Linked DNA regions of Elephas maximus indicus. The main gene of each other region encodes a partner of the protein of the gene in region 4 in a complex. Links are inferred from orthologs where the notes say so. Each region holds a gene or a part of one and is shown on either strand. Other genes may lie near its edges. The genes, in order: THOC6, THOC7, SARNP and THOC1.

Region 1 (7,177 bases), on a different chromosome or scaffold from region 4:
GGGCTGGTGCCCTCCCCATCCCGAAACCCAGGCAGGGGCTCACAGTGAGCAGGGGCCAGCTTTTGGGGCCAGGGGTAAGAGGTGGGTGGTGGGGCAGAGCTGCCTATTTTAGGAGTCTATAGGTCTATCTTTTCTAAGCACTGGGCACTCTCCAGGCCAGGATGACAATGTGTATTTATGTATCAAGATCAGACAGAGTAATATATAAATCACAACACCAGCTTGGCCTCCATTCTTGGGAAGGAAGCACATGGAAGAAACGTTGGAAACTTTATTTGTTAAAAAGAAAGGGAAAAAAAGCACTCCAAACTCCTGGGGTGAAGGGTGTGTTGGTGGGTCAGAAGGACAGGGAGAATGCACGGTAGCCCAGATTGGTGAAGACATCCACCCGGCAGCTGTTGCCTGCAGCTGTCAGGACCTGGAGACAAGAGGGGCATGAGGGCCCTGCCCAACCCCAGCGTCCCAGTATCCCATCCCTTCACTGGACCCACCTTGCACTCAGGAGCCGCTGGCTGCTGGTTGAGGCTGAGGCTGAGCAGCCCCGGGGAAGAGCCTGGTACCTGGGCCTTGAGCTCCCCGCTCAGCTGCCATTGGTTGACACAGGGGCCCTGGCCGGCAGATAGAATCTGTAGAGGGCAAGAGAGGGCTCAAGGGTCAGGGCTGGAGACGGGAGCCAGCAAGGGCGGCAGAAGGAGACAGAGAGCCTACCAGGTCCTGGTAGAAGGTGACGTGCTTCTGTGGCGCCCGCATGGGGAAGATGGTGGTGGGTGTAGAGGACCGCAGGTGCCAAAGGGTGAGTGCTGGGCCCCCTCCACAGACCTGGCCAGAAAGGCAGGGGTCCCCGGCCGCTGTGAGCCATGAACCCCTGAAAGCAGGGCCCAGAGCTGCCACCCATCCCACCCCACCCTCTGGCCAGCTCACCATCCAGTCTGAGTCGGTTGCCAAGCATCCGATCCAGCGCCCGTTGTGGGGCCTGGAGCACTCCTAGAGGGAGGAAGAAGAGAGTTGCGGATACAGAGAAGCTGGGGAAGAGCAAGGAGGATGGGGCTGGGGCATGGCCTCACCTCGTGCTTATAGACCTCGATTGTCTGTACCTCCTTGGCTGTGCGGAGGTCTGTGGAGAGAACCTTGAGGGGTGCCATCCTTGTCCCATCCTCCCCACCACCATCTCTCCCTCCAACCAGCCAGCCCCTTACCCCAAAGCCGCACGGCCCCATCCTCACCACCCGAAAGCACCTCGGGGCTCCGCTCCCGCAGCGCCAGGCAGTGGATGTAGTCCGTATGGCCCCGGAGGGCCCGCTGCGGGGAGAGGGGCTGTGTCAGGAGCAGGTCCAGAAAGCACCCCGCCCCCACGTGACCTGCCCCTGGCTCTCAGGCCCTGCTCACCGTGAAGGCCCCAGTCTCAAGGTCCATAGTGTGTAGCTGACAGTCTCCCCCAGCCAGGATAAGAGAATTCTCCTGCAAAGAAAGGCAGGGCAGGACTGGAAATCAATGACAAATCAGGACGGGGACAGGTGGAAGGACCAAAGTTTGGGCCAAGAACACAGCAGGGCGGAGCCCCCAATCACAAAGGACTTAGGGGGCCTCAGACCTTGGGGACGAGCAGCAAAGAATTGATTTCAGGCACTTCCAGGCTGGTCCTGGGGGAGGAAAAGCAAGGTCCGCTTTGGTTCAAGGGTGCCTACATACCCAAGTGCCTCCCCCCACGTGGCCCTGGCTCACCTGTATGGTGGCTGACAACGCCACAGCTCCTTGCTGCCCTTCATGGTAGAAAACGCCAAGTGACCTCTAAGGCTCTCCTTGGGCCTGGGCACCCAGCCTGTTCCCCAGGTCTACACTCCTTACCTTCTTGAGGATCTCTGCCCACAGCCAGGCCTTTACCTCCCCATCCCCGGCACTGACTAGCTGTCGATCGGTGGACACCATGCTGTAGACGGGCCCATCATGGGCTAAAGGGAAAGAACCTGAGCGACCCCATCTGGCCCCTTCCTCCACCCTGGGATCCCCAAAGCCAGACCTGACAGCTGCACCCACCTTGGAAGGTCACCACAGGCTTCTTACTTTCCTCTTTAGCCTCGGAGCTCAAAGCAGCGGACAAGCTGAAGTTGAGAAGGGAAAGGGGAGGGGGCCCAAGAGCCAGAAGCCGGGAGCATCAGTCCCAGGAAGGCCGAGTGCCAGGACTAGTGGGTGCAGGGGAACAGGGGCCATGGGTACCTGAAGATGGCAATCTGCCCGTAATTGTTGCCTGCCGCAAGGAACTTCCCACAGGGGGACACACTCTGGGAGAAGACAGTCATGTGCAGCCGCTGCAGGGCCTGAAACACCTCCATCTGGGAGGAGAGGTGGGATAAGAACCTGCAGACCTCTAGCCCTGCTACAGCCCAGCCCCCCACTGTCCAGACTTCTCAGCCCTCCTTCAAGGCAGCCCACCCCGCAGGCGCCTGCCCATACAACCCTGGGAGGCGCCAAGAAGAGGATGAGGAAAGGGAGAGCTCAGGTGTGCTACCTAATGGGACCTCGAGCCAGCTCCCTAGCTTCTCTACTCAGTTTCCTCAAGTATCAAGTGAACTCACTGGAGTTTGTGTCTCAATTAGATGCGCTAATGTATATAAACAGCATCGCAAAGGGTCTGCCATGTAAAAAGCGCTTAAGAAGTGGTTCTCTTGTCCCCAATACTTAAAAACGTGTTCACTTCTGGGGTACTCCTCTGGCTCCCGGTCTGAGTCCGATTTCCACTAGCAACCCACGCGCAACAGGGCTCGGGACATGATTCTTCGCCCGCCCGGTCGACCCGGGCCTGGAATACAAACCCCAGAATGCCCTGCGTCCCGTGCCTGCCTCACCTGACCCAGAGGAACCGCTTGTGGCACTACTCGCTCCATCTCGAGGACTACAAGTCCCAGAATGCTTCGTGAGACGCGGCTTCACGAGTCCGGACGTGCCCGCGACCAACTCGTCTGCGGCGCCCCACGTCCCAATACTGCCGCCGGTCCGGCGCGAAGGTGGTTTCCGCGTTCCGCCCCAAGCCCCACGAACCGAGATGAGCACCTTGAAGGCCGCGGCACTACGTGGCGCCCCCTGTAGCCCTGCTACGCCTGATCCCCTCCCCCACCCCGCTGAACAGACCCGCCTTCCAGCCGCGTGCCGCCCGTCTTCCGCGCCTGCGTGAATGCTCACTGCTGCGCGCGCCAAGGCCACGCCTCCCGCCGTGCCACGCCCCCCCAAGGCACCGCCCCTGTCGGGCGGATCCCTCCCCTTTGCTCGAAGGACGGGTAGCCCCAAAGATCCTGCCGCAGCCCCTAGAGCGTGGCCCCCGGGGTCGGACCCAGCGCGACCCCAGTGCTGCCTCAGGGGCGACCTGGAGCCTGGACGCGAGGTGCGTGTGAGGCCCCCGGGGTGGGCCTAGCCAGGGGGCTCAGGGCTGGTCTGCAGTATGACACATGGCGGGTGAGCTGGTGGAGCTTGGGCGTGAACTGAGACTGGAATGGGGCTGGGGGCTCAGGGCTGCTGGATGGCCCAGGAGAGGAGACGTGACTTAGGGGGTCAGCTAAGACAGGGATGGGGGCTGCTGGCTGAGGCTGCAGGCTCAGGCGGGCAGATCCTCTTGGCATGGGGCCAGGAGGGTGGGATGCACCTGGCTCTTGTCTCTTCTCAGCTTCCCTCTCCAAGCTGTGCCCATGAGCACCAAGCGGCGCCTGGAGGAGGTGCAGTGAGTTTGGAGGCAAGGAGGGACTCCCAACTAGACCTTGCCCACCTCTGACCCCCATCAGGCTGCCTCCCCTCTCCATATCCCAGCCAACCTGCCTTCCCTTCTTTCCCCAGGGAGACTTTGCACAAGCAGTTCTTGTCCGAGGAGAACATGGCCACCCACTTCTCTCAACTCAGACTGCACAACCACCACCCCTACTGCAGCCCTCTCAGGGCCTTACCTCCAGTCCTACCCCCACTCAGGTGGGCACCTTCCACCTGCCAGCCCCCTGGAGGATCACACTGGTCTTCAGCCCAGCCTCCAGGCCCTGCCTCATCCTGCTATTTTTAGCTTCTGGGTTGTTTCCCATCTTGACTCCTTGGAGGGTGGTGACCTGGATCTAGTGGGGGGTGGCTCTGCCAGGCCAGCCGAGCCCTGCCCTGTCATTTCCTCTTCCAGGAGCCCTTGCTCTGAGCTCCATCTGTGGTGCTACTCTGGGAACCTGATCCCTGAAGCCCTCCAGCTGCTGAGGCTGGGGGACACTCCATCCCCCACTACTCTGTTACCACAGCTGGGGACATAATGGAGCTCTGAGTACTGGTGGGTAATGTCCTGCCCACCTGCCTTTCTCCACACATAGGGGAGACCAGCACCAAGCTTCCCTGCTTCTCCTCCTCCACCAGACCAGGCCTCTGGGCATCAGGACCTTCCCCCCCACCAAGGAGGACACTGAGGACAGAGCCCTGAGTGGGAGGGCAGGAGGGGCAGGAGCTTGGGGAAGAAGGCATGCTACTGAGGAGCACTGAATAAAGACTGCTGAACAAGTGAAGGCTTCACTTGGGGCCTAGGGAGAGCTGGGGTGCCGGATGCGTGGCTTCTCCCTCAAGATATTCCCTGGAAAACAGTCTGGGCTTAGCCAGGCCCTGGCAGGCTGGGCTCAGGCATTGAGAATGTGTGAGTCAGAGCCTCGCCCCCACCCCCGCGGCTGCCTGACTCACTCCCTCCCTCCAGCCAGGGAAGTCGAGCTGGGACCCTGCCACTCTCCAAGCCATTTAAAGTTAAAAACTCTTTTATTAATAAATTCTCCCTCCCTCTCAAACTTTTTCCCCAAAATAAATATCTCCCCACTTTGGGGGCTAGTAGAGGCAGTGTGGTAGAGCCGGCCCCCCTAGAGGGCCAGCCCCTAGTGTTCAGAGCAGGTCCCTAACCCCCCAGGCTGAGACCCCTGTCAGCGTTTCAGCACATCTGAATGGGTGGGGCCTAGTGTTGTGTCTGCCCTTCAGGTCGGCCTGGCCCCCCAGGGCATGGGGGGTAGAGACCCCCTTGTGCAAATGCTGCAGTTCCTCAGTGTCAGTGGTCGATAGTGTGTGAGCTGGATGGGGCTCCTTTCTGTCCTGGAGCCTGAGACCAGGCAATGAGAGATACCTTGGAAGGCTCCCCAAAACCTCAGGCCTCAGAGATGATTCACCACCATCACCCCTCCGGGTGGCTGGCTGAGCCTGGCACAGGCTGAGTCTGGGAGGCAAGGGGTGGCTCCAGAATGAATGAATGAATGCGTGGGAGCACAGGCTGGCAGGGGGCGCTCACTGTCACTGGATCAGTGCCACACCTGGGCAGCCCTCCCCGCCAGTCTCCTCGATGGGGGCTGCAAGACAAGAGGGGTCACAGTGAGAAGGAGAAACTGAACAGTGACAGAGGCGGGCAGGCTGGGGCACACTTACTGGTAAACTTTTCTCTCCTGCGGCATCTTCTCCAGACCAGGAAGCCAGAAAGCAGCCCTACCACAAGGGCCAGGCTCAGGGCACCCCCCAGGATGGGCCAGAGCAGCGGGAAGGGGGCTGGAGGGGCTGTAGCACCTGGGGACAGGATGTGAAGTGAGACCTCACCCCCCAGATCTGAGCCTCATGCATTCCCCTTCCATTCACAGCTCTGATCAGAGCCCCTTCCCCACTCTCCCTCTTCCGGATTCTGCTCCAGATGGAAAGCCTACAGTCCCCTCTCCACCCCAGCATCCCTCTCTCCGGGTCCAGGGTCCACCGGGTCCGACCCCACCCCCACTCACAGCCCAGGCAGAAGTCGCTGCGTGGCCGCACGGGGCACGACGCACAGTCCATGCACTTGTCGAGGTCCGAGCTCCAGGAGGTGCCGCGGGGGCAGGGGGCAGCACCTGGGGAGGGGGCCTCGGGTCAGATGCTGGGGCGGGGCGCGGCTATTCTGGGGGCTGAGGTCAGGGTCGGCCGGCTCGAATGACTTGAGTCACCAGCGCCCTCCCCCGCATTCCTCACAGGTGACCGCACGGCCCGTCTGGGACACGGCAGTGGGATGTGGGAGAGAAGCGCCAGTCTCTAGGGGGGAGGGATCAGGTCCTCCACAACCTAGCCCCCACCCGTCGCTGGCGGGTGACTCACTCCCGGGCACCAGGCCCGACCCCGGCCCCTCCCCCCGCATAGCTGGGCACTTAAGTCACCGGACGGACGGAAGGGGGCACCCCACATGGCATAGGGGGCAAAGACGCCCGTGTCTCTCGGCATCTCCAATCTCGGGTCACTGGGGATGAGCAGACCCCATACTGTGCAGGCTGGGGGCGTGACCCGTTAGCAGATGAGACATCCCGCCCACAAACTTTTTTCTGCCCCCTCTTCGAGCCCCGACTTTCAGGAAGAAGCCCCCGACGTAGGCAGGAGGGAAAACTGAGGCCCGGACTGAGGATGAAGCTTAGAGCTGGATGGGATCTCCCCTAGCCAGGGAATGCGGTGCCTGGAGACCACCTGGCCCCGGACTCTCATGCCTGCTTCGTTCCCCTAGATTCGGCCCACATTTCCCAAGCCCCCAGACTCGGCACCCCTGCCCCCAGCCCTGGGTCCTCCCAGCCACGCGGCCCCCACATTTCCAAGCCGGGTACCGGCCCCGCGCCCGCGTACCTGGCGTCCGCTCCCCAGCCGCAGCGCACAACAGCGCCAGCCAGAGTCCCAGCACGAGAAGCCGCAGCAGCGGACGCAGCGGGCCAAGAGCCATGGTGCGCGCGTCCACAAACCGCCGCCGTCTGCTCCCTCTGCCAGCCTGCTGCTGGAGGCAGCGCGTCCTCGCCTCGCCCCCGCCTTCCGGGGCGGAGCCTCCTCCCACCCCGCCCCGCTCCTCACAGCGCCCAGCCAGTCTCCCAGCGCCCCGCCTTGCAAACTGGCTAAGGTCTGTCATTCGTTCAACAAACACTAGCTCTGCGCCCAGGACCCTGCAGGGTCGCAGAGGCGGGCCTGCCCTCTCGGTACCAAGTCCAGAGGGGGACGGCCATCAGAGAGACACGAAACAGCTCTCATCGCAGAGATGGTGGCAACTTTCTTAAGGGCCCCAGAGGCTTAACAATAACAACAGAACAAAAATAATCCCTAACATTCATTGAGAGTTTACCGCGTGCCGCTTAACCGCACCTTAGGAAGCAGTAGCATATTAAAATGCAGGCTTGTTTTTTCCATTTTGCAAAGTAGAAAACTG
Region 2 (7,280 bases), on a different chromosome or scaffold from region 4:
TACCGGACCAGGACATAGAGCTTCGTCTGCACAAGCTCCCAGTCCAGTGGAATACGTAGGCCCATGGGTGAGGACTACATGAGGACACTGTGCCTTGCCAGGAACCTCAAATTCATAAGATGGCATCAACCCTCTTCTAAGCTCCAGGGACAGGTACTGGTACTTCTCCAAGAACTTTTCAGGACCATTCTCGCCTGCATAGCATCTATTCTCTACACAGCAGTCCAGAGTGATCTACAAGATGTATCAGATTGCTAACTCTCCTGCTCACAGTCCTCCCATCACTTCCCAGTGCCAACAGAAGGCAATCCAGCCTCCTTCCCATCGTCTGTACGGCTCTTTGGGAGCTCTGGTGTATGTCTCTGACCTCCTTTTGGACTTCACTTCTCCTGGCCCTCCTGCACCCAGCTTTACTGGCCTTATCTTCCTAAAGGGCACAAAGCACTAGTTATTGTCTGTACCTGGAACACTTTGCTGGGCTTTTCACATAGTTAGCTCCTTTTCTTCCACTTCAGGTCTCACCTCCAATGTTACATCTCAGAGAGGTCTTACCTGATGGCTGTATCTTAACCTAATTGTCAGCACTCTTCCCCATTACTTTGTCATCATTACACTACATTCTTTCTCAGAACATAATCAATTTCAGAACTTAATAACGTTCTCACAAACTATCTTATCTACTTATTTGTTTGCATGCTATTGCTTCTCTCTCCCAATGGGCAGGGCTGCACTCTGTCTAGCTTACTGCTGTAACCCCAGCATCCTGCATTGTGCCTATAAGGTACGCGATAGATACTTGTTTACTGATCACACATACTATTCACATCTCGATTTTTAGTAAAAGCTCAGATGAGGAAACCCATGTTATAGAGGACTGCCCAAAGACGTTGTGGTTTGTCTTTTCCTTTTATGGTCTAAAATATTCTTACAAAAAGCAAAAAACTCTGCTCTGGATTAACCAGGCCAGCAGAGCTACCCACCTAACCACACGGGCTATTTATTGGCTTTAACACGCCTTTCTGAATTGTGATTTAGCCTACTTTCCCCTATAACAGAGATGTGCTAAGAAACAGCCCATGATTCTCAGTGCCAACAAAGGGGTTGAAGAATGACACTGGCTCCTCTTTATGAGGACCTCAAAGAGAAACTTTTTCTCTAGTGTTTAAATCAGACGAAAAGTTTGTCCAGGGTATCTAATGCTGCGTTCTGTCACCAACACTGGCTCACAGAGTGGAAAGGTCTCACCTCTTGGATGGGCCGCTAAGGGAGCCCAGCCACTTGTAGCTTTCTTAACTAACGCACCACACTTCACTTCTTGCATTTTAAAGATTGCCCCGCGTCTGGCTTCCTCCTGTTTTTCTTAGTCTCAATGTCCTTTTTGCCCTGTTTTATCATCTATTTACATTATTCTGTATTTTCTCACTATGGTGAGCTGAAGTAAATATTTTCTGGAATAAGGCATGTAAATAAATTCAGACTGAGGACCACTGCAGCAACATGCATAAAATAACATGGCTAACAGGTGAGAAATCAATTGGTTCTGGGAAAGAAAGAAAAGTAAAAAAAAAAAAAAAAACACCCAAACCCATTGCTGGTGAGTAGATTCTGACTCACAGCGACCCTACAGGACAGAGTAGAACTGCCCCATAGGGTTTCGGAGGCTGTAAATTTTTATGGAAGCGGACTGCTGCACCTTTCTCCCGCGGAATGGTTGTAACCTCAAAGGGAGAAAGATCTTGCCTGTTCATTCTGGGCTGTAATCCCAAGGCCTAGCCCAGCTAGGATAAATATTACTGAATAAATGAAACTGGAATGAAGCAAAGTTGAAACTCCTCATGAGGTTTCTGGATCGTTCACAGCCTCCCACCTCCCCTACTCCTTACCGTATCCACAAATTTGGGCTCAGCACTCTCCCTTCCATTGCCCAGCTCTTTAATATGGAGACCCTGTCTGCCCCCACTCTTCAGAAGTGGTCTCTCCACAGGCATCTATAGTTACTGGTCACCCTCTCCTCTAACAGACCCGGTGACCAAAGACCCCCTCCCCCAAGCTAGGCTCTCCCCCAGTTGCTCATCATACCTGTCCACCTTCCCCAGGGTGCCACACAATTTCTGCCCTCAGTCCCTAGACCACCCCCTGGGCCCTTCTTGACCACGTCCACCTTCCTAAGCTGCCCTCACAACTGTACACAAACTCAGCCTCTGTCTCCAGCCTCCCTCCATCCAGTCCAACCAACAAACCACCTTCCCTAGGATACACACAAATCTTTTATTGCCCCCACCCAATAGTGGCTCCTCGTCTTTCAAATAAGTCTCCAGGCACACTCCCAGATTGCCCTCCAGGCACCCCATCCACATCTATTCCTTTCAGATGACGTCCCCAGCTGCCCCTCCCCACTCCCAGTCACTGTAGCTCGGGGCCCCTTCCCAGTCTGCCCAGAGGACCCCTCCAGCTGTCGGCCTCCACACCCCGATAGCCCGCCTGACCCCTGCGCTTCCATCCCCTTCCAGCCCTCCACAGGCGCTCGGACCCCCAGCTCCATGCCCTCCACAACCCCCACCCCCCACAAGGGCTCCCCGTCACCTCGCGGGCAGCCCAGGCCTCCTCGGGGTCCCAGTCCGGCTTCCGGCCGCCCCGGCCCCACGTGGGCGCCCAGCCCCCTCCCAGCACCCCCTCTCCATGCCTTGCGCCGCCTCCGGGAGTCACCGGGGGTTTCGGGGGACACGGGCGGAGGCCAGCGCCCCCGGAAGCGGCTGGGGGTTTCGGGAGAGGCCCAGGGGCTCCGAGGGGTCTGACCGGGGAGGCCCAGGGGCTCCCGGAAGCGGCCAGGGAGGCCGGGAGTCTCGGGGGAGACCGACAGGTCTGACTGGGGAGGCCGGGGTCCCAAGGCGGCCGAGGGTCTCGGGGGAGCGGCGGGGGGTCCTGAGGAGGCGGCCGGGGAGAAAGACTAGGGTCTCTCCGGGGCGGCCGGGGGCCTGGCCGGGGCGCCGAGCGGGTCCCGGGGCGGCCGGGGGCCTCACCGTCAGTCACGGCTCCCATGGCGTGCGCGGCGGCGGCGCCAGCTGAGGCGGCGGTTGGCGGCGGCGGCGGAGGTCAAACTCCCACAATGCAGCCGGGTAAACAGCCATGGAGGAGGAGGCGCCGCCCGCGGCCGCCCTCGCCGCCGCCTGAGCCGCGCCGCCGCCGCCGCCGCGGGACCCGCGCCCCCCGCGCCTCGTGAGCCGGGGCGGCCGGGGGCGGCGCGTGGAGGCGAGTCCCGGCGGGCGGCGGCGTCCGTGCAGCCCCGGCCGCCGCCCCTCGCGCCCGCCCGGAGGCCGCCGCCCGCCGCCAGGTGAGCTCCCTCCCTGGGACCACCCCGTCCGGCCGCCGCTGGGGGGCCTGGCGCCCGGGGGTGCTGAGGGCGGCGGGGGCTCCGGGCTGAGCCGGGCGCGCGGCCGAGGGTCCGGCGAAGTTGGCGCCCGCGCGCCCGGCGGGTCTCCTCAGGGCTGCGCGGCGCGGGGCGGCCACGGGGAGGCCGGGTGCGGGGGGCGCCTCGGGCCCTGCGGCCGCGCCGTCTTCCCGGGCTGAGAGGTGCTGGGGAGCGGGAAGGGGAGAGGAACTTGTCGGCCTGGGGGGCGGCGCCCAGCACCAGCGCCGGGCACCCCCTTCCCCGACGGAGCGGGACCCGCCGGCGGCCACCGAGGGCTGCTTTCATCTGCTGCTTTGATTTTAAAAAAAGAAAAAAAAGTCTTGTGCGCCCGTCCCCGTGTTAAGGGGAAGTTGGAAGTGAAGGGGTGGGGGCCCAATGAGAAACGCTGGTTTCCGCGCAGAGTTACACGTTTCCGGAGCGCCCTGCAGATGCTGTTGGCATCCCTTCCCGAAGTCCCCCAGCTCCCACCTGGCCGAGGTGCCCGTAGGTGGCAGCGGCGCAGTGGTGAGGGGCGGCCCGGAGCCGGGCACCGGCGCAGCCGGGTTGACCTCGGTGGACCGATGGGTAGTTAGCGCAAGACGCCGGGCTGAGCTCCGAGCCGGCTCTGGTGTTTTACCGAGCCATGTCGTGACTCTCTTCCCGTTTTCTTGCCTCCCAAGTACTGTCTGCGTCTTCATATCCGGATGCAGCAGTCGTATAGGATGGATTCGGTGGTTTCAATTTTGTTGATTGTATTTTACTAGCAGGGACTGGTCCTCCCTGTTTTCCCTAGTTCTTTCAAAGAGGACGAGCTGTAAATGCAAACGTATGGCTGTAAAGTGTGTTCAATCTCTAGCTAGACGTCGGCGTATGCAAAATTTTACACACATCCACGAGTCCAGAAACTTCAATAGTGTCATTCACAGCGGTGACAGGAATTAGCACCTTCGATTTTTAAATTACCGTGAGTGAAGATTCGGAGGTTTCACTTGCCCTCCCCTAGGATATGAAACCTCCCCTGGCTTTGAAACACTATTGGGCCCAAACGCTGGCTCCACATGGCATCAGACTGTTCAGTTACTGGGTTTTAGAGAGAGGGAACGCTAACCAGAAGGATTGCTTTAAATCTTCACTACAAACAGTAAACTGAAAGTTTCAATCGATTATCTAGCCACAGTGACATTTTAGTGGGGATTGTTGTTGTTCAAAAGGTAATTGTCAAGTGATGAAATGATGTTTTTTTAAATTGTTACTCGGTTTTATCATAATACTGATTTTGAAACAGTATCTAATGGTTTAAAATAAGCTTTAATGTTTTTATAGGAATGTGTTACTGCCCCTCGGAAGTATTTTCACGAGACATTCTGTCAGTTTTTCACAGATAGAGCCTTGCAGACACTTTCAGAAGTTCAGTTAGTAATTTATAATTTTGTTGGACAGAGCTCAGAAATTTCTAATGTATTAATACCAAGACTTTAAAGGAGGACTTCAAACCTGTTTCTTCTGTTTTGAACCCCTGCTGAGAATTTGCATTTCCACCCCAGATATACTGAATCAGAATCTATAGTTTAACAAGATCCCCTCGTGATTCTTATAATAAATTTTGAGAACCACTACTCTGCTAGTGATTCTCAGAATTGGCTCCTAACCAGCGGCCTTAGCCTTGCGTGGGAACTTGTTAGAAATGGAAATTCTCAGCAGGGTTTTGAACCTGAAGTTGCCTGTTCAAAGACCTGCTTTAACACTTTTGTGAACCAATTATTTTCTGCTTTGAATTTTTTATTGATAGTATGTTTTCATTAAGGGAAGCGTGCCGAATCATTGAGTGTATCTGAATTTTTGGTGGGTAGAATGGATTTTTTTTTCCTTGCCCCCTCCCACAAAAAAAAGCCTACTCTAAATGTTCAGCAGTGCATATGAAGTAGCGTTCGTTAATTATACCCCAGCGTCCCCAGTGGGGCCTATTAGTACATATATGTAACAAATAAAAATTTTCAAAATTTGTTTTTCCTACCAGAAATTCAGACACTTTGTACAATACCCTGCAAAAACAGTAATTGTTGCAGGACACTCCCGTTTCCTCACCCTCAGACAGTCCTAAAGACCCCTGCCTTTCGGTGGCACAGACTGTCAGTGGTCCAGCAGCTTCCCATAAACGTTCAGAGGCAGAAAAAAGTGCTTGGTCCCTACAGGTACCTGTGAGCGTGAAAGGGTTAAAGTATGAGGTGTACTTGAAAATAAACATTCCTGAAAGTTCTTGATTCAGTAGTGGGAAACACAACATAATGTGAACCTTTATGGCCTCTTTAAAATCTCCTTTTCCAGCTACATACTTTAATTCACAAGTGCATTGACACAAATTTGTGTTGAACATTTAAGAATTTTTCTAATTGCTTTGTCTTCATATTGTGTGTGTATACATGCACGCACACACGTATGCATGTATGTTAGAAAAACAGTTTATAGCAAGGGAAGATATTTTAGTAAATTTTAGAAGTTCTGTTTCTAAGGAGGTGTCTGTGGACAGAAACACAGAAATGGAAGTAGCAGATTTTAAGTTATAACAAAACTGATCTGGACTTTGAACTTGTATGACCTTAGATTTAGTGACTTTGATTTACTCAAATCATTCTGTTTTCTTTGAGAGTATGAGGGGCTAGTCAAGGAGGTTAGTCTGAGTCTGCATTTACCATTTACCTTCAGAAAGTGTAAAGAATGATGAGGGAGCTGGCTGGTGGCTTCACCCTGGGCCTGTGAAACGATGAAGGCGTTTCTGTCATACGCTTTTAGAAGAAGGGTTATTCTATTTTAGAAGAAGGGTCTGTGGGCCTCCAGGAACCCATGAGTGGACTTGAAAGGATTCCTGAAGCCTCTGTAGTTGTGACCAAAACTTTTTTTGTGTATGTGTATTTTTCTTGGGGAGAGGGTCTGTCTATACCTGTTTTATAAAAGAGATCCAGGGGTCAAAGTGAGACATACCTTTTTTATTAAATAGAATGGAAGTTAAGAATACTCATTCTTAGGAGAAAAGAATTAAGAAAAAGTGGATCTTTGTGCTCAGTACTTGCCTTTTAAAGCTGTCTTCCCCCAGCCAGGATGTCCTGGAGGTGCAAAAACTCTTGGGTTTCTTCCTACAGGAGAGCGTTGCCAGCAGTTGATAGGCCATGCATACACACAGAGGGCAAGCCAGCCTGCTGTGCCAGTCCTGGGGCCACTGTGGCTGTTTTTAAATTATATCTAAAAATTCAGACCAGATAATTGACAATGGATAAGCAGAGACATGAGTATGATGCCAGCCCTTGGAGTAAGTGGTTCTTTCAGCTCCATTCTCTTTTTTGCTCTTCTAGCAAATTTGAAATTTGCCTAGGAAGTAATTGTCCTAAGAAAACACATTTGTACTTTGGCAGGACTGCAGAGCATGATGGGGAAAACATAGTTTCTGTGCCAAGGCGGACCTCAGTTCAAATCTGGGCTCCCCCATTCACTGTAGCTGCTCTACCTGCTTTACCTTCCGGTACCTCATTTGAACAGCGCCCACCTAATAACGTGTATGTGTTGGAGGGTGGCATGATGTTTTCTGTAAAAAACTTTGAGCTCCTCATTTGGCCTATAGGAGGGACCTGGAAGCTAGGTTTGGGTAACATTTGCCACAACAATCAAAAATAAATACCTGAGCAAACGTGAAAAAAAGTAGAGTCATGTTATTTGATAATAAGTTATTAAAATTGGTATGCTGAAAGTATTAAGTTAAAACATTTCAAGAAATTGGATTTAAAAAATGAATTAGGAACAAGTGGTCCTTGCAGTGTAGACACCTGGGGGAAGGTTGAAGGAAATGGTGTGGTTAGAAAAGCTGAGGACACTGATGCTGGGCAAAAAGAGACAGTAGCGG
Region 3 (7,337 bases), on a different chromosome or scaffold from region 4:
CTAATCTTGAATTTTAATTCAAATATTTTATTGGAAATATTTTTCATTTGTTAATCTCTCCTGATAGCACAGTGGTGAAGTGCTCAGCTGCTAACCAAAAGGTTGGCAGTTCGAATCCATTAGCCGCTACCTGGAAACGCTATAGGGCAGTTCTACTCTGTCCTATAGGGTTGCTATGAGTCAGAATCGACCTGACGGCAACAGGTTTGGTTTGGTTTGATCTCTCCATTTGGTTTGTAAACTCTCAGAGAACAGACATTTTATATCATGTACAACATTTCACATAGCAGAAACTCAAACACGTATTTATTTTCAAGTACTAGTAAATGCCATAAGAAGCCTTGGCAGCGCAGTGGTTAAAGCGATCCACTGCTAACCAAAAGGTCAGCAGTTCAAACCACCAGCAGCTCCATGGGAGAAAGATGTGGCAGTCTGCTTCAGTAGAGATTTATAGTTTTGGAAACCCTATGGGGTCACTGGAAACCCCGGTGGTTTAGTGGTTAAGGACTACGGCTGCTAACCAAAAGGTCAGCAGTTTGAATCCACCAGGCACTCCTTGGAAACTCTACGGGGCAGTTCTACTCTGTCCTATAGGGGCACTATGAGTTGGAATCGGCTTGACTGCAACAATACGGTTTTATGGGGTCACTATGCACTGGGTTTTTTGGGTTATGAGTCAGAATCGACTCGACAGCAATGGGTTTTGGAGTATGTAGCAGACCAGATGCTAAGTACCTTGAATGCATTTTCTCATTTAATCCTTAAAACAAACTTATGTAGTTGGTATTATGATCCCCATTTTATAAATTAAGAAAATGAGACTTAAACAGATTCAGTTGGTTTATGATCACACAGCTAGTAAACAGTGGAGCCAATATGCCAGCTAGGGTCTCTGTGATTCAAGCTCATAATCTTAACTACTAAGGTGCTAACACTGCTCTCTCTTGATTCTTTTACCTCTCTCTCCTCCTCAGCCTCAAAGGAACCCTGGTGGCACAGTGGTTAAGCGCTGGCCTGCTAACCGAAAGGTCAGCAGTTCGAATCCACCAACTTGGAAACCCCATGAAGCAGTTCTACTCTGTCCTTTGGGGTCACCATGAGTTGGAATCAATCTGACCGGATGGCAACAGGTTTGGTTTTTTCCTCAGCCTCCTTACTAGCTCTTGCTCTACCCAACCCCATAAATACTGGTATTCACTAAGATTCCTTCTTTTGCTCTCATTTCACTTGTAACAAACGTGTTCACTCCCCTGAATCCAATCACTGGCAAATCCTGTCACCTCTACTTTCAAAATATATCTAGAATCTAATTCCTTTTCATCACCTTGAACACTACTCCTCAGGTCTTCCTATCATACAGACTATTGTAAAAACCTCTTCAGCTGTTATCTCACTATAGTTTATTCTCTAGTCAGATTGATTCTTTGAAAATTTAAGTCAGACATACGTATGTGTACATGCTACAAACACATCCATGTATGTAGTTGTGCACACAAGGGACATAGTCATGAAAACGTCTTAGCCATAACCATATACCTCATGGGACTGAGATACTGGTCTTGAGAGTTAGAATAGTCCCGGGGGACATCTAGATCAACTGGCATATCTTACTCCATACAATGTTGTACATCCTACCTTGTTGAGCAGCACCTGGGGTCTCAAGAGCTTGCGAGCAGCCATCTAAGATACAATTGGTCTCTTCCTGTCTGGAGCAAAGAAGAGTGAAGAAAACCAAAGCCTCAAGGAAAATATTAGTCCAAAGGACTAATGGACCACCTGAACCACAGCCTCCACCAGCCTGAGTCCAGAAGAACTAGATGGTGTTCAGCTATCACTACTGACTGCTCTGACTGAGACCACAATAGTAGGTCATGGACAGAATGAAATGAGAAATACAGAACAAAATTCAAACTAAGACCAGACTTACTGGTCTGATAGAGACTGGGGGAGCTCCCAAGGCTATACTCCTTAGACACTCTTCTAACTTGGAACTGAAATCACTCCCAGAGATCACATTATAGCCATACAGCAGAACAGGCCTATAAGATGAACAATTAACACCAGTGAGGAATGTACATCTCAGAACAATCAACTATATGAGACCTAAGGGGCAGCATTTGCCTAAAAACACAGCTCAGAAGGATGGTAGGGGCAGGAAAGCTGGGTGAATGGATACAGGAAGCCAGGAAGGAAGGGGGGAGAGTGCAGACACATTCAAGAGTTTGCAACCAAGGTCACAAAACAAGCTGTGCATAAATTATTGAATGGAAAACTAATTTGCTCTGTAAACTTAACCTAAACAACAAGAAAATGTTCACACAAAAAAAGAAAATTGAAGTCAGTCATGTCACTCCTCTATTAAAAAATTCCCCCACTGGTTTTCCATATCATAAAGGATAAAAGCTAGAGTCCTAATCATCACCTACAAGGCCCTACACAATCTATTCCCCATTCCCCACCATTACCTCTGTGACCCCTCTTCTACTATTCCTACTAGCACTGCTCACTTCGATAAGCCACGTGGCCCCTTACGCTACCCCTCTAACACTTTCCACATGGCTCACTGCTTTACCTCCTTCAAATCTTTGCTTCAACATCTTCTCAAAGAGACCTTACCTGGTCACCCTATTTAGAATGACAGCATCTTTCCCACTGTACTTCCTGTTTTTCTCTACAGACCATATCACCATTTTATTGTGCCTTCTCCAGAAAAATATAACCTCCATGAGGGCAAGGATTTTTGTCTGTTTTGTTCATTGCTGAATTCCTAGCACCTTTACGGTAGCTGGCACGTAGTAGGTACTCAATAAGTATTTTTAAAATGAAACCCAGACTTTTACCCCTAAACTCTCAGCTCTTCAGCAAAAAAACCCCATATTTCCAATTGACTACTAGACATCTCCAAAGTGACGTCCTAAAGACTCTTAAGCCTAAAACTAAATTTCTCTCCTATACAAGACTGGCTCTTCCTCCTCTTCCCAACCTAAAGGAGTCAATCTTGGAGTCATCTTTCATTCCTCCCACATTTAACTAATCTATAAATTCATACAATTCTACATTCCAAATTTGTTCCCATTCTAATAAGCACTACCTTATTTCAGGTCTTTTGACAAATAGTTACTGAGCACCTACTGTGAATCAAGCATTATCTTAAATACAGGAAAATAATCATAAGGAAAAAAAGTCTTTGCCTGCATGGAACTTACAATCTAGTAGGGGAACAAGGCAATTAATGATCACATAAAAAGTGTTTAACTGACTTAAAAAAAAAAACAAGCTCAAGGCTCTATAAAAGCGTATGAAAAGAGGTCTGATCATGTGCATGGATAGAGAGGGCAGGGAAGGCTTCCTTGGGTAAACAATGCTTGAATGATATCTGAAGGGTGACTAGCAGTTGATTAGACAAAGGTATTGCGGGGAGTGGGAGGTGGCAAGAGCACTGTAGGCAAAAGGAAACTGCAGCATTTGTGAAGGTTCTAGATTCTGAGGTAAAAACAAGAGGCAGTAGTCCATGGTGATCTAAGAACATCAATTTTTGAGACAGACTGCCTGGGTGTGAACCACAACTTAGCTGTGACATACAGCAAATTACTTAATCAGTTATTTAATCTCTCTGCACTTCAGTTTTCTCATCTTAAAATGGGATAATAGTAGTATTTACCTTATCAAATTAGTTAATGTATGTAAACAGCATTGACCAGTGCTTGCCACATAGTAAATGATATGTTAGTGTTAGAAATTAATGAATATAGCCATTCTGAGAAAATGAAATAAAGCCACTGTGGTTGGAGTGTTATAAACTACATTGGAGAGACATTAAAAGGTTTTAAGCTGAGAAGTAATGATAAAATCTGTCCCCCTCCAGATTCCACCCTCTGCACTGCCAGTAGAACACAGACAGGTCTGATCATCCTCCTTCTGCCTACATGACAAAAGCCAAACTCCTTACACAATTCGTTGTTTTAGATGCTGTTGTTCCATATAGGACAGAGCAGAACTGCCCCATAGATTTTCCAAGAAGCGGCTGGTGGATTTAAACTGCTGACCTTTTGGTTAGCAGCCGAGCTCTTAATCACTACACCACCAGGGCTCCACAACTTAGAAGGCCCTTTTCAGTATCAGTGCAATCCACCCTTATAGTCACACAGTTCACCTAGTTTTCCCTTCCAAACTATCTTCAGCTATCCACATATATGCACGTTATGCTTCAATAATGCAAATGTCTCACTATTCTTAACACTGACACTACTATACCTCTCTCCTCTCCTCTGCAATAGTCCATTTTTTAATGTTTGACTAGAAATCTGGTACTGTTACAGTTCAAAAGACATTTTCACCCACATCCACAGTTCTGTCTCTTTCCAACTGTGCTAGCATGACTGCACTTCTATAAAATCTTTATTGCCAGTGTAAACCAAAAACAAAAAAACCAAACCCGTTGCTGTCGAGTTGTTTCCGACTCATAGAGACCCTATAGGACAGAGTAGAACTGCCCCATAGGGTTTTCAAGGAGCACCTAGTAGATGTGAACTGCCGACCTTTTGGTTAGCAGCCTGAGCTCTCAACCACTGTGCCACCAGGGCTCCAGTGCCAATTTAGACAGATAATATTTTTCGTTCACTTCAAATCTTGTTCCTTAACAGTAACTCCAGGTCCCATTTTAAAGCCCCAAACCCCCTTTATAAAAAATGGAAAGGTTTAAAAAAAAAAGAAAGAGATAAAACCCTAAGTCAACCCAAAAGTCAGGATCACTCTATCACCTGTCCTGAAAGTCAGAATTAAAGGCATGAGTTCTTAACTAGAGGTCCATGGACTCCTCAGGGCTACCAGGTAGTTTTACGAGGCCCCTCAAATTGCATGCAAAATATGTATACATGCCTTTTTGTGGGGGAAGAGGGTCCATACCTTTCATCAGAGTTTCAAAGAGATCTGTGACCTCCAAAAGGTTAAGAAGTACTCTAGAGAAAAAGCAAAGACAAGCAAATGTGATTAAAAGGGTGAGTCCTTTTTAGGCTGCCTGGAATGCCTCATGTTCTTAATATCTAAAACCTGAAATCAGGTCAGAGGACATTCTGTAAAAGCGACTTAACCAATTAAATGCAAATTTAATATAGATCTGAAAAATACAGATTTGACGGAAGGAGGAACTCTATAAACACAAAATCCAAAAAGGCAAGTCATGGAATAGGAAGAAAATACTAAGTTTTCTATTCATATTTCCTTTCATCTCATCCACTCAAAAGTTCCTTTTGTGTGTGTTTTTTATAATATACATAACAACACAGTAGTATGTATGTAATTTATATATAAGTATACATACAATGAAGGTGGTGGCGTAATTTGTTTTTACTCATCATGATATTAAGAGGCCACCGATATAACCTACCCATTTCAGTACCATCAACTTAGCAGTAACACCAGCATAACAAAAAAAACCCACTAGTACAATTTAGAAATCAACGGTAAGAAATAGATCGGCTTTCACAGAAAGGATAATTGGTGTCAACTAATAAGTGATTAAAGAAAGGACCTCTATCTTTACTACTTAAACTTACTGGTCATCAAGTTCTAAAGGATCAATTTTCACTTTTGGCTAAATCGGCCTGTTTCGATCACGATTCCCAGAACGTGACCAAAACATCTGATGGGACAACTATTTGTGAAACCAAAAATGGACAACTTATCAAGTTAATTCGCCCTAAAAGAAACTACTCTTTTCTTGAACGAAAATGATAATCTAAATGTGAGAAAGCTACCAAGACCCATAACTTTAAATAGCTTCTGTGATTCGGAGTGTCAGTCGTGATATCAAGAGATGCAAGGTCCATCCACGCGATATGCAAGGGACTGAGACAAACCTAACCTTGGCATTGTATTCCACAGAACTGAAGCTAAGGGTTCTTTCTCCAAGGGGGGAGGTAAGGAGGTGCGGCCTGGAGGACCGGGAGCCACAAAGAGAACTCGAAAAACTTTTAAATCTGAGGTGTCTGTGCCTTTACTAACTGCTAAGGTCCCCTGAACCCCAGGTCTCGCCCAGGTTTCAAAGTTAGCCTCCGGGGGCGTAACCCCACCTGTAAAAAGAAGTGGAAGCATTTTCTGGATCACGTCTCGGTCCTCGACACAAATACACAAAGGTGCAATCACCTAATAGGGGAATCTCAACTTTGATAAACAGACGGGAAGCATCAACTCGGAAGAAAGGGGGGGTCCCGTGTCGGCGCAGGGGGAAAAAGAGGGGGCCGCTGACGTAATGCACCTCTGACAAGAAACGAAAAAGGAGTATAACAGGTAGAAGGCACTTACACAACCCAGTGGGGAAGGCTGACCGACGATACAGCGATTAAGAAAATTGGGAAGTCGAAATAACAAGTAAAAATAACTGTAAAGCCACGAGGAAAAACGGAAAAGTAGAGGAGTAGTGGGAAGACGGCAGGCACAAAAGAAAAGCCGACTAACTACGGCGGGAGAGGGAAAAGAAAATGGAAAAAAGCTACAAGGAGAACACGCAGAAGAAGGCGCAAGCCACTCTGCAGAATCCAGTTTCCAGAAAAGTCCAACTCAGCCATTCTCCCCTTCACGGTACCTTCAGCTTATGAAGCTCCACCGTCTCCGCCGCCATCTTGTTACCCCCTCTACTCCACTAGGCCCCCACCCGCCCCTTCTGCCGCCAAGAGCGCCCGCTTACGCGCAGAAAACGGCGGACCAATCGCTGTCAGTCTTACTTCCACCCCACACCATCAGCTCTTCCCATTAGTCAAGAAGTGGTGTCGCTCTCGCTCTTCTCAGCAGCTTTCCCCACCTCTCTCAAAAGGTGGGACAGAGAAAAGGGCGGGTTCTGCCGCTTCTGAACGACGGAAATAGCGACCAATTGGAGTCTCCATTGCAGACCGCCAGCCAATGGGTGGTGGAAGCGCTGATTCTGCTCCACCAATAGGGAGAGTACAAATGGGCGGGGACGGCTGCTTCCTGGAGACTACAGGTGTGGAAGCGAGCGCCGTGCTGTAGGAGGGGAGCTGTCAGGTAGGGGCTACCGGGAGACTGGAAAGGGGTTACTGAGGAAAAAAGGTGGGAGGGGGAAAGGAGGTGTGGGGGAGTTACAAACCGAGAGATGAGTGCTGGAGAGAGCCCTGAGGGGACCTGACGAACGAGAGAGGGAAGCTGGGAGAAGTATGGGGCGGGTTCAAAAGAGTTTAGGTATTTTTAGGTAGAGGCGCGGGCAAGGGCTGCTCCTAACCAGGCATCAGCTTTAAAGCTAACACGAATTTAAAGGTCGACGTTCAGATGACCAGAAACACCCCGGAGTCGGGGCTAGGGCTCTATCTCTCAAGGCATTGAGC
Region 4 (7,006 bases):
GAAAATTCAACTTTAACCTATAGTTCTTCCTCAGTAAGACCTCAAGCCACACTCTTTTTATACTCAGTTGCAGAGGGCTCTTCTTCATTTATTAAACCAAACCCTTAAATTGCATTTGTGCTATCAAAATCCTTAATTATTATACAACGCCTACACTGACTATAAGAAACCCTAGTGGTACAGTGGGCTCCATAGGAGAAAGGTATGGCAGTCTGTTTCCATGAAGATTTACAGCCTTGGAAACCCTATGTGGTTGCTTCGAGTCAGAATCAACTCAATGGCAGTGGGTTTGGTTTTCCGGTTTTATATACTATGACCAAGTCCACTTTCACAAAGTAGCAAGTGCACTGTACAAAAAATAAAAAAAGGTGCCTTAACCATGTTTAAATATCCAATCTAACAATAAAAGCAATGTTTTTTTGTAGTAACTCTGGGATTAGTAATTTGTTGGCAAAATTTTAACAATTAAGGAAAACCAAACTTACAATTTCTTCTTCTAGAACACCTCTGAAAGCTTGATCAAGAGTGCATTTTTTTTCATTTTCACTATTAAGGAAAGAAAGACAGCCTCATTTTTTAAACAGCTCAGGGTAAGCATAAAGATTTAGGCAAACAATTTTCATAGGTGTCAATGCCTTACCTGCCAGGTAACTGGCTGAAGGTACTCAACAATGGCTTGATGTTTTTGTTGTTCAAGGCTTCTCTGGTAGACTTCTAGAAAAATAAAAATGGCAAATAAGTAGAAAGATTTTGTTATTATTTACTAAAAAAATATAATTATTAATATAGCTTAGTATGCCTAACTAAAAAAATGTTTATACCTGGGAAAAATTACCTATACACCTTTTTCTTCATGATCCTTATTCCAAATGGCACCAACTAATACAAATCCTCATCACTTTAAACCCGGCAAGAGCGTACTAGCTAGCCTTTCTCATTCCAGGTATCCCCTTATATCATCCCCTTAACTATCACATTCATGATGGCATTCTACTTTGGAAAAAAAAAAAAAAAACTCCAAATGGCTTCTTATTCATATGTTTTCATTTTGAATTTTCATACCTACCTCTCAAGGTCCTTGATGCTATCCCACTCGGTCTATCCAATCTTATTCCCCACTACTCTCCAACATGAAACGCTACACTAAATTCTAGCCATTTTTTCATCATTTTCTATCAAGTTCATTCTAGTGTGTTCACATTCATACTCCCACCTTCTCATCCAAATTCTATAAGTTTTTCAAGACCCACCTCCAGTCCGTCTTCTCTATGTAGCCTGCTCAGCACAGTCCCTGACATGTAATTAGCACTGAATAAATAACTGCTGACCATCTTAAAGTAGTCATAATTTAAAGACACAAATACTGTAAGGTCATTCGTTCTGTGAAAATTCACATACACTTGGAAAGTCACTGTGTTAGATGACTCTAGAGGAGTTAAGAGCTATGCTGAAATGTCCATTCCTGGCTCTCCCACTAATTTGTCATTATCATTATCGTTAGGTGCTGCAGAGTATCTTCCGACTCACGATGACACTATGGACTACAGAATGAAATACTGCCTGGTCCTGCGCCAATAGGCTGTATAATCTTGGACATATCTCTTACTCTCTCTGCTTCATTTTCCTCACCAATAAAATAAGAGGGCTGTCTTAGACCCATACTACCAGCAGCAGCAGTGGCATTGCTTGGCAACTTGTTAGAAACGCAGAATTTCAGGCCCCACTCCAGATACTGAACCAGAGCCTGCACTGAACAAGGTAGCCAGGTGAGCCTACTGCACACTAAAGTTTGAGAAGCACTGGACTAGATGAACTCAAATTACACCATCCTTTCCAGGACTAATACGACCTTGGATATTCCTAGTAGTTACTCTTAGCTGTTACTCTTCCTAGAATTTCAAGGCACCAAGGATGACAGAAAAACACACAAAAAATTATTATGATCACACAGACATTATATAATTCGTTAAAAAACAAACCCCACACTATATGGAAAAAAAAAACCTGCAGAAAGAAAACGACTGACTACAAAGAATAATTTTTTTTTCCACAGAATTTTCATTCTGGCATCACTATTACCACCCAATCACAGTTAAATACCTGAAGAGTTGAACCATGCCTTGAAATACTGGTACAAATGCTAAAGAAGAATACAGCCAAACAACTTAGGAAGAACAGTGTTTCTTCATAATGGGAGCAGCGATGCACAACATAAAGAATACTGGGTCTGGAGTCAGAAGAATCAGTGAAGTAAACCACTTAACATCTTTTGGGGGTCTCAGTTTCTATCTCACATACTGGTGATAATAAAATTTAGCCTATCACAGTGCTAGTCTAAGAGTTAAATGAGCTAACGTGAAAGCGCTCGGAACGGTGTTTCCCAAATGCTTAAACCACCCTTCTCCAACACGCAAGAATACGGTGACATCTGGTAACCCTTCCCAAGCTGACCTGTTTGCTTTTCCCCACTTAGGGTCGTCTTTTCCATCTATTGGGACTGAGATACGGAAGATTAAAGGGTGGTGAACCGGCGGCCGGTACAACCACCTCGGCAGCTTAGAAACTCGGGCGAGAACCGGTTCTCCAGGCTGAGCCACTCCCGCCCTCCCCCTTCAGCAGCTCCCCTTCTAGTTCTGGAGACACCTGCCCGCTAAGCTAACACTGCAGAGGAGCTGGACCGCACCGGAGGTATTCTTCCGGTGAGATCTCCACACAAAGCGCAAATGCACCCAGAACGCAGGGTCCTGAGACCTGCCGGCGGGAGGGCGGGGACAGGCAGCAAAGGACGCGCGAAAAAGCTAGGGAGCGCACCCCTCCCTATCTCCCAGCCTCCGACGGGGCCGGGAGTAGACGCCGAGGCGTACACACCTCTGTTCCCGCTCTACCCCAGGGGAAAATTCGAGTAATTTGAAGGACAGGAGAGCAAAGAACAACGCCGGCTCAGGCCTGCACGTTCCCGCCGCCGAAGCTCACCGTAAACCGCGTCCGCGCTTCGGGCAAACTAAACAGCGGCGGCGTCGGAGACATCTTCCCGGCAGCGCGCGCCCGCCACCGCGCTGCGGCGCCCGCCGATGACGTCAGGCCGGGAGCAGCGAGTTGGCAGCTCCGTGCGGCTAGAGCGGCCTGTGAACCGTGGGGCGGGTAAGTTGTGAGTTGAGAGCTTCCGTGGCGCGTGAGTTCGGGTGGGCGTTGGAAGTCTGAGTCGGTCAAGCAGTGCTTAATCCGCCTTCGCGGGTATGGCCCTTGGGGTTGGGGGATGTGGGCGGCCTCGCCCTGCCTGCTCGGCGTTGCCGGGCAGGGAAAAAGCGGGGTCGCCCACCTGCATCGCGGTGGTTTCCCTGGGGTTGGAAAGCTGGGTGAATGGCGGCTAATTACGGCCTCAGAGGGGCGGCGCAGGAAGGTAACTGGTGTCCGAGAATTTAAGGTGTGTGCGTTTGGTAGAAACAACGAGCTGCGGAAATGATGGCCGTGGCCGCCGAACCGTAGTCATTCAGCCTGAAGCTTGAGATTTGAAGTCGTGAAGGACTCTAGATTTGAATATTAGCCTTGTGGAATGAAATGATACTTGGCTCACAGGGCTGTTGAAAAGCTGGAATGAGATAATGAATACTACGCGCATTATAAATTGGTAAAAGCGATGTAAGTATTGTTTATTATTAATATTTTTACTCTTGGAATCAAGATGACTTTAAAGTCAACTTTTCATTTGACTTTACTGGCGCATAATAGGACTCTACTGAAGAGAAAGACGGAGCAGAAGTGCAGTACCCGGCGCTGATTCGAAAGTGGCTGGCACTGGGTCCAGGGCAGAGGCAGCCCTTGCAAAACCATGCCTCCTAAGCAGTTTCTTCCCTTTCCTCCTCTCACAAGAGAGATGTGGCCAGTGAGAAACCTACTGGCAGTAACACTCCGTTAGGGTTATGCAGTGCAGTAAGAGACACCGACCCCAAACTTTGCTTCCGCATGTACCTAAGTGAAGAAAGCTAGACCTGCTGTATCTTGCCTGTTCCTTTATTTACATCCAACAAGGATAAAGGAAGCTAATAAAAAGATAATTTCCACAGAGCCTTATCGCAAAGTGGAAATTGTGCATACTGATGGCTAGCTGGAGCATTGCAGTCTATTTTTAGAACCAATCAAATCATTCAGGTTTTATTGTATAACTTTAATTTCCAAATTAGCAAAAAGGATTTAGTTTAAAAATATACTTTGTTAATCTGAAGGTAATTGATGTAATATGATTATCATCACATTAAAAATGATTATTAATCTGGAACATAGCTGAGACCTCAGAAGTAAAAAAAAAATTTTTTTCACAAAATCCAAACCCAAGAAGAGCTGGGGTTTATACTAGGAAGGGCACTTGGATGTTGAACAGCCAGTTGGATGATATCCTTTGGCCATACTGGTTGCCCAGCACAATTCCTCTTACTTCAGGGGCCTTGGTGAATATTGGGCTACTGTTCCCATCTTCCCTACCATTTGAACAGAGTCCATCTACTGAAGAAGAAAGTGAGGCCAATGCATAGACACAGAGCTTAAAGATGAAAAAATAGACTAAGAAATGAAGAGAGACGAAGATAAAAATGTTAAGTAGGGAAGACAGATGGGTAGGAGGGAGAGATGATGAAAAGAGAGATTGATTACAGCACAGTTTGAGCACTGGACTTTTTCATGTCAGATGACAGCTCCACCACCATCCATTTTAGTTACATGAGCCAGTAAATCCGTTTTATTATAGCTTCATGCTGTTTGGAGTTGGACTTCATTTGCTATCAAAAAGTCCTAATTATGCCTGGAGCAGCAGAGGAAGAGGAGCCCTGATGGTGCAGTGGTTAAGTGCTCGGCTGCTAATGGAAAGGTCGATGGTTCAAACCTAGGGAAAGGTGTGGCAGTCTGCTTCCATAAAGATTTACAGCCTTGGAAACCCTATGGAGCAATTCTACTCTGTTCTGCAGGGTTGCTATGAGTCAGAATTGACTTCATGGCAGTAAGGTGGGTAACAGAGGAAGGAGAGTCAGGAATAGGAGGAGGATATGGAATATGTGGCTAATTGCCTTCATGAACAACTGCCTCTACTGTGAGACCAGAAGAACTGGATGGTGCCCTGCTACCATTACTGATCAAAGATTGTATAGAAGAATCCTGATCAAAAGGGGGAAAATGTAGAACAGAATTTTAAATTCTTATGGACTTCAGACTTTCTGGAGCCAAGGGCGCTGGATGAATCTCTGAAACTATTGCCCTGAGATAATCTTTAAACCTTAAACCAATAACATTCCCTGCAGCCTTAAAACCAAGTAATAGTTTAGCTTAACTAGTAAAAAAAAGTCTGCCTTGAGCATTATACTCTTTTAAAAACTATATATGGTGTCAAAGTGACAACAGCAACTTGAAAGATTAGATAAGAACCTTAGGGAGCAGTGAGTTTACGTTAATGGGGAAGAAACAGCTCAGAAAAGGAGGGTATGAATGGTTGCATAACTTGAAGAATGTAATCAGTGTCGCTGAATAATACATGTAGAAACGGTTGTATTGGTGTATGTTTTGCTGTGTATATTCTCAACATTAACAGCAACAAAATAAAATCATTAAAAAAAAAAAAGTCCTAATTAATGTAGGAGGTGAGGGGGAGTTTCATCTACAATTGTATGGGTTATTGTTTGCTTTCCTTTTCATTCCTTAGTCCCAAAATGAGAAGGTTGGACTGCCTGCTGAAGTTCTGAATGGGATGGATTAGCTTTTGAATGATCCAGTCTGCTGGAGATTATGGTCTAACAGGTGTATACACCTGCATTACCTCCCATGAGCCAGGTGAAGTCTAGTTGGATTTTGCCCCGAACAGTGGTAGTTGGTTGATGTTTTCTGGATACATGGGAGAAGAGAGGGGTGAATTGAGCGGTGGTAGATGTGAACAGGAGCGCTCATGTGATCAGGAAGTGACCGGGTAAGTGGGTGCTTTCTAATGCTGTAGTGATGGTGACTCTCAAATTATGTACCTCAAAACTGCCTGCCTGAAGAAATGGGGGCAGCATTTATCATCTGGCTTCAATTTTCATTCATCAAAGGCTGCTTCATGGAATGTTGCTGTTGGCATGTCTGAGTCCATAGAGGGTTCTCACAGGTGTTCTATGCAATGACATAATATTACTGAAGCCCTGGGCAAGGGAAAAAAAGATATGATGCAGCTGAGGTGAAATGCTGTCATTTTCACCTGTGTGGAGCTGATGTCACAGCAGTCGCAAGTGTAAAAGTGGGCCCAGAGGATGGGAGGCAGGGCCAAGGGATATCTAATATAGGGAAAAATTTTTTTGACTTCTTAATCAAAGGGGGAGCCAAAATAAATTACAGTCTTCACAAAATGATGTGGGATCAAGTATATCAACTGTATTTAAAAAAAACTAAAGGGTAAGCGTTAATAGAATCTAAAATAATAGATTCTATACCTCTAAGATCACTGAAGAAAATTAAAAAATATATAGATCATATAAAAAAAGTTAGAGAACAAAGGAAACTGCAGAATCAATCTCTGTATGGAGTGTGTATATGTGTATGTATAAGCCTTTATGTATGGATGTATATATATTTTAAGGTACAAATTACTGATGATAGAAGCAAAAATAGACATCAGAGGAAGGGTTGATCTAGCCTGAAGTTTATACATTTTGGGAGAGATGGTCTTTAAGAAGAAGAAGAATACAAATTATGGATAAAAAATTGATATGAAAGTGAATAATTTTGGGGAATGAGAAAAATGAAAGTACATTATAAATGTCACAAACATCGCAAATCCAGAAAAACTGCAGTATTATTTAACTGCCTGGTATGCTTTTATCATACTTTTCCTTTACATTTTTGAGTCCATGTTCTTTGATCACCTCATCATGTGACAATGGTTATGTAATATTTTTATTAAAAAAGAGAGGATAACTCGACCTTTTATTTAGCATAGTGAACATCTTATTATTGATAGTTTAGAAAAAAAAATTTTTGAGCTTCACAGCTA

The links.
Region 1: the proteins of THOC1 (region 4) and THOC6 are in contact, whole or in part, in a cryo-EM structure (PDB 7APK), measured with the Homo sapiens proteins. The link is inferred for Elephas maximus indicus from reciprocal best matches to the Homo sapiens genes THOC1 and THOC6. Residues at the interface, in NP_005122.2 of Homo sapiens: Ser227, Pro229, Ile230, Asp231, Tyr232, Leu234, Arg236, Val270, Ser273, Tyr274, Asp309, Leu312; in NP_001334633.1 of Homo sapiens: Leu57, Ser58, Ser59, Glu60, Pro312, Glu313, Lys315, Thr330, Asn331, Gly333, Tyr334, Ala336.
Region 2: the proteins of THOC1 (region 4) and THOC7 are in contact, whole or in part, in a cryo-EM structure (PDB 7APK), measured with the Homo sapiens proteins. The link is inferred for Elephas maximus indicus from reciprocal best matches to the Homo sapiens genes THOC1 and THOC7. Residues at the interface, in NP_005122.2 of Homo sapiens: Leu10, Arg14, Glu46, Gln53, Arg56, Glu60, Ile63, Ile64, Asp99, Asp102, Cys103, Leu104, Pro105, Arg146, Gln151; in NP_079351.2 of Homo sapiens: Tyr47, Gln51, Leu54, Ser55, Ser58, Gln59, Phe62, Gly65, Lys66, Leu69, Val70, Met73, Arg76, Glu77, Asn80, Ile84, Ile88.
Region 3: THOC1 (region 4) and SARNP share a complex: the UniProt entries of both Homo sapiens proteins name them as parts of the transcription/export (TREX) complex. The link is inferred for Elephas maximus indicus from reciprocal best matches to the Homo sapiens genes THOC1 and SARNP.

Annotation. Positions count from the first base shown.
Region 1 is NC_064830.1:60,085,740-60,092,916, reverse strand, and holds THOC6 (THO complex subunit 6 homolog), read right to left. Parts: upstream 3,086-7,177; 5' UTR 2,883-3,085; coding exon 2,844-2,882; intron 2,331-2,843; coding exon 2,215-2,330; intron 2,100-2,214; coding exon 2,035-2,099; intron 1,950-2,034; coding exon 1,846-1,949; intron 1,761-1,845; coding exon 1,723-1,760; intron 1,641-1,722; coding exon 1,592-1,640; intron 1,459-1,591; coding exon 1,387-1,458; intron 1,300-1,386; coding exon 1,197-1,299; intron 1,115-1,196; coding exon 1,065-1,114; intron 985-1,064; coding exon 922-984; intron 820-921; coding exon 709-819; intron 627-708; coding exon 492-626; intron 419-491; coding exon 338-418; 3' UTR 258-337; downstream 1-257. Other genes in the region: TNFRSF12A (tumor necrosis factor receptor superfamily member 12A), read right to left, coding at 5,351-5,544, 5,751-5,855, 6,610-6,703. UniProt on the Homo sapiens protein: Component of the THO subcomplex of the TREX complex which is thought to couple mRNA transcription, processing and nuclear export, and which specifically associates with spliced mRNA and not with unspliced pre-mRNA.
Region 2 is NC_064838.1:69,157,782-69,165,061, forward strand, and holds the start of THOC7 (THO complex subunit 7 homolog), read right to left. Parts: upstream 3,154-7,280; 5' UTR 3,040-3,153; coding exon 3,021-3,039; intron 1-3,020. UniProt on the Homo sapiens protein: Component of the THO subcomplex of the TREX complex which is thought to couple mRNA transcription, processing and nuclear export, and which specifically associates with spliced mRNA and not with unspliced pre-mRNA.
Region 3 is NC_064822.1:115,787,001-115,794,337, forward strand, and holds the start of SARNP (SAP domain-containing ribonucleoprotein), read right to left. Parts: upstream 3,109-7,337; 5' UTR 1,681-3,108; coding exon 1,636-1,680; intron 1-1,635. UniProt on the Homo sapiens protein: Binds both single-stranded and double-stranded DNA with higher affinity for the single-stranded form. Specifically binds to scaffold/matrix attachment region DNA. Also binds single-stranded RNA. Enhances RNA unwinding activity of DDX39A.
Region 4 is NC_064829.1:26,423,623-26,430,628, reverse strand, and holds the start of THOC1 (THO complex subunit 1), read right to left. Parts: upstream 3,059-7,006; 5' UTR 3,028-3,058; coding exon 2,974-3,027; intron 715-2,973; coding exon 641-714; intron 547-640; coding exon 486-546; intron 1-485. UniProt on the Homo sapiens protein: Component of the THO subcomplex of the TREX complex which is thought to couple mRNA transcription, processing and nuclear export, and which specifically associates with spliced mRNA and not with unspliced pre-mRNA.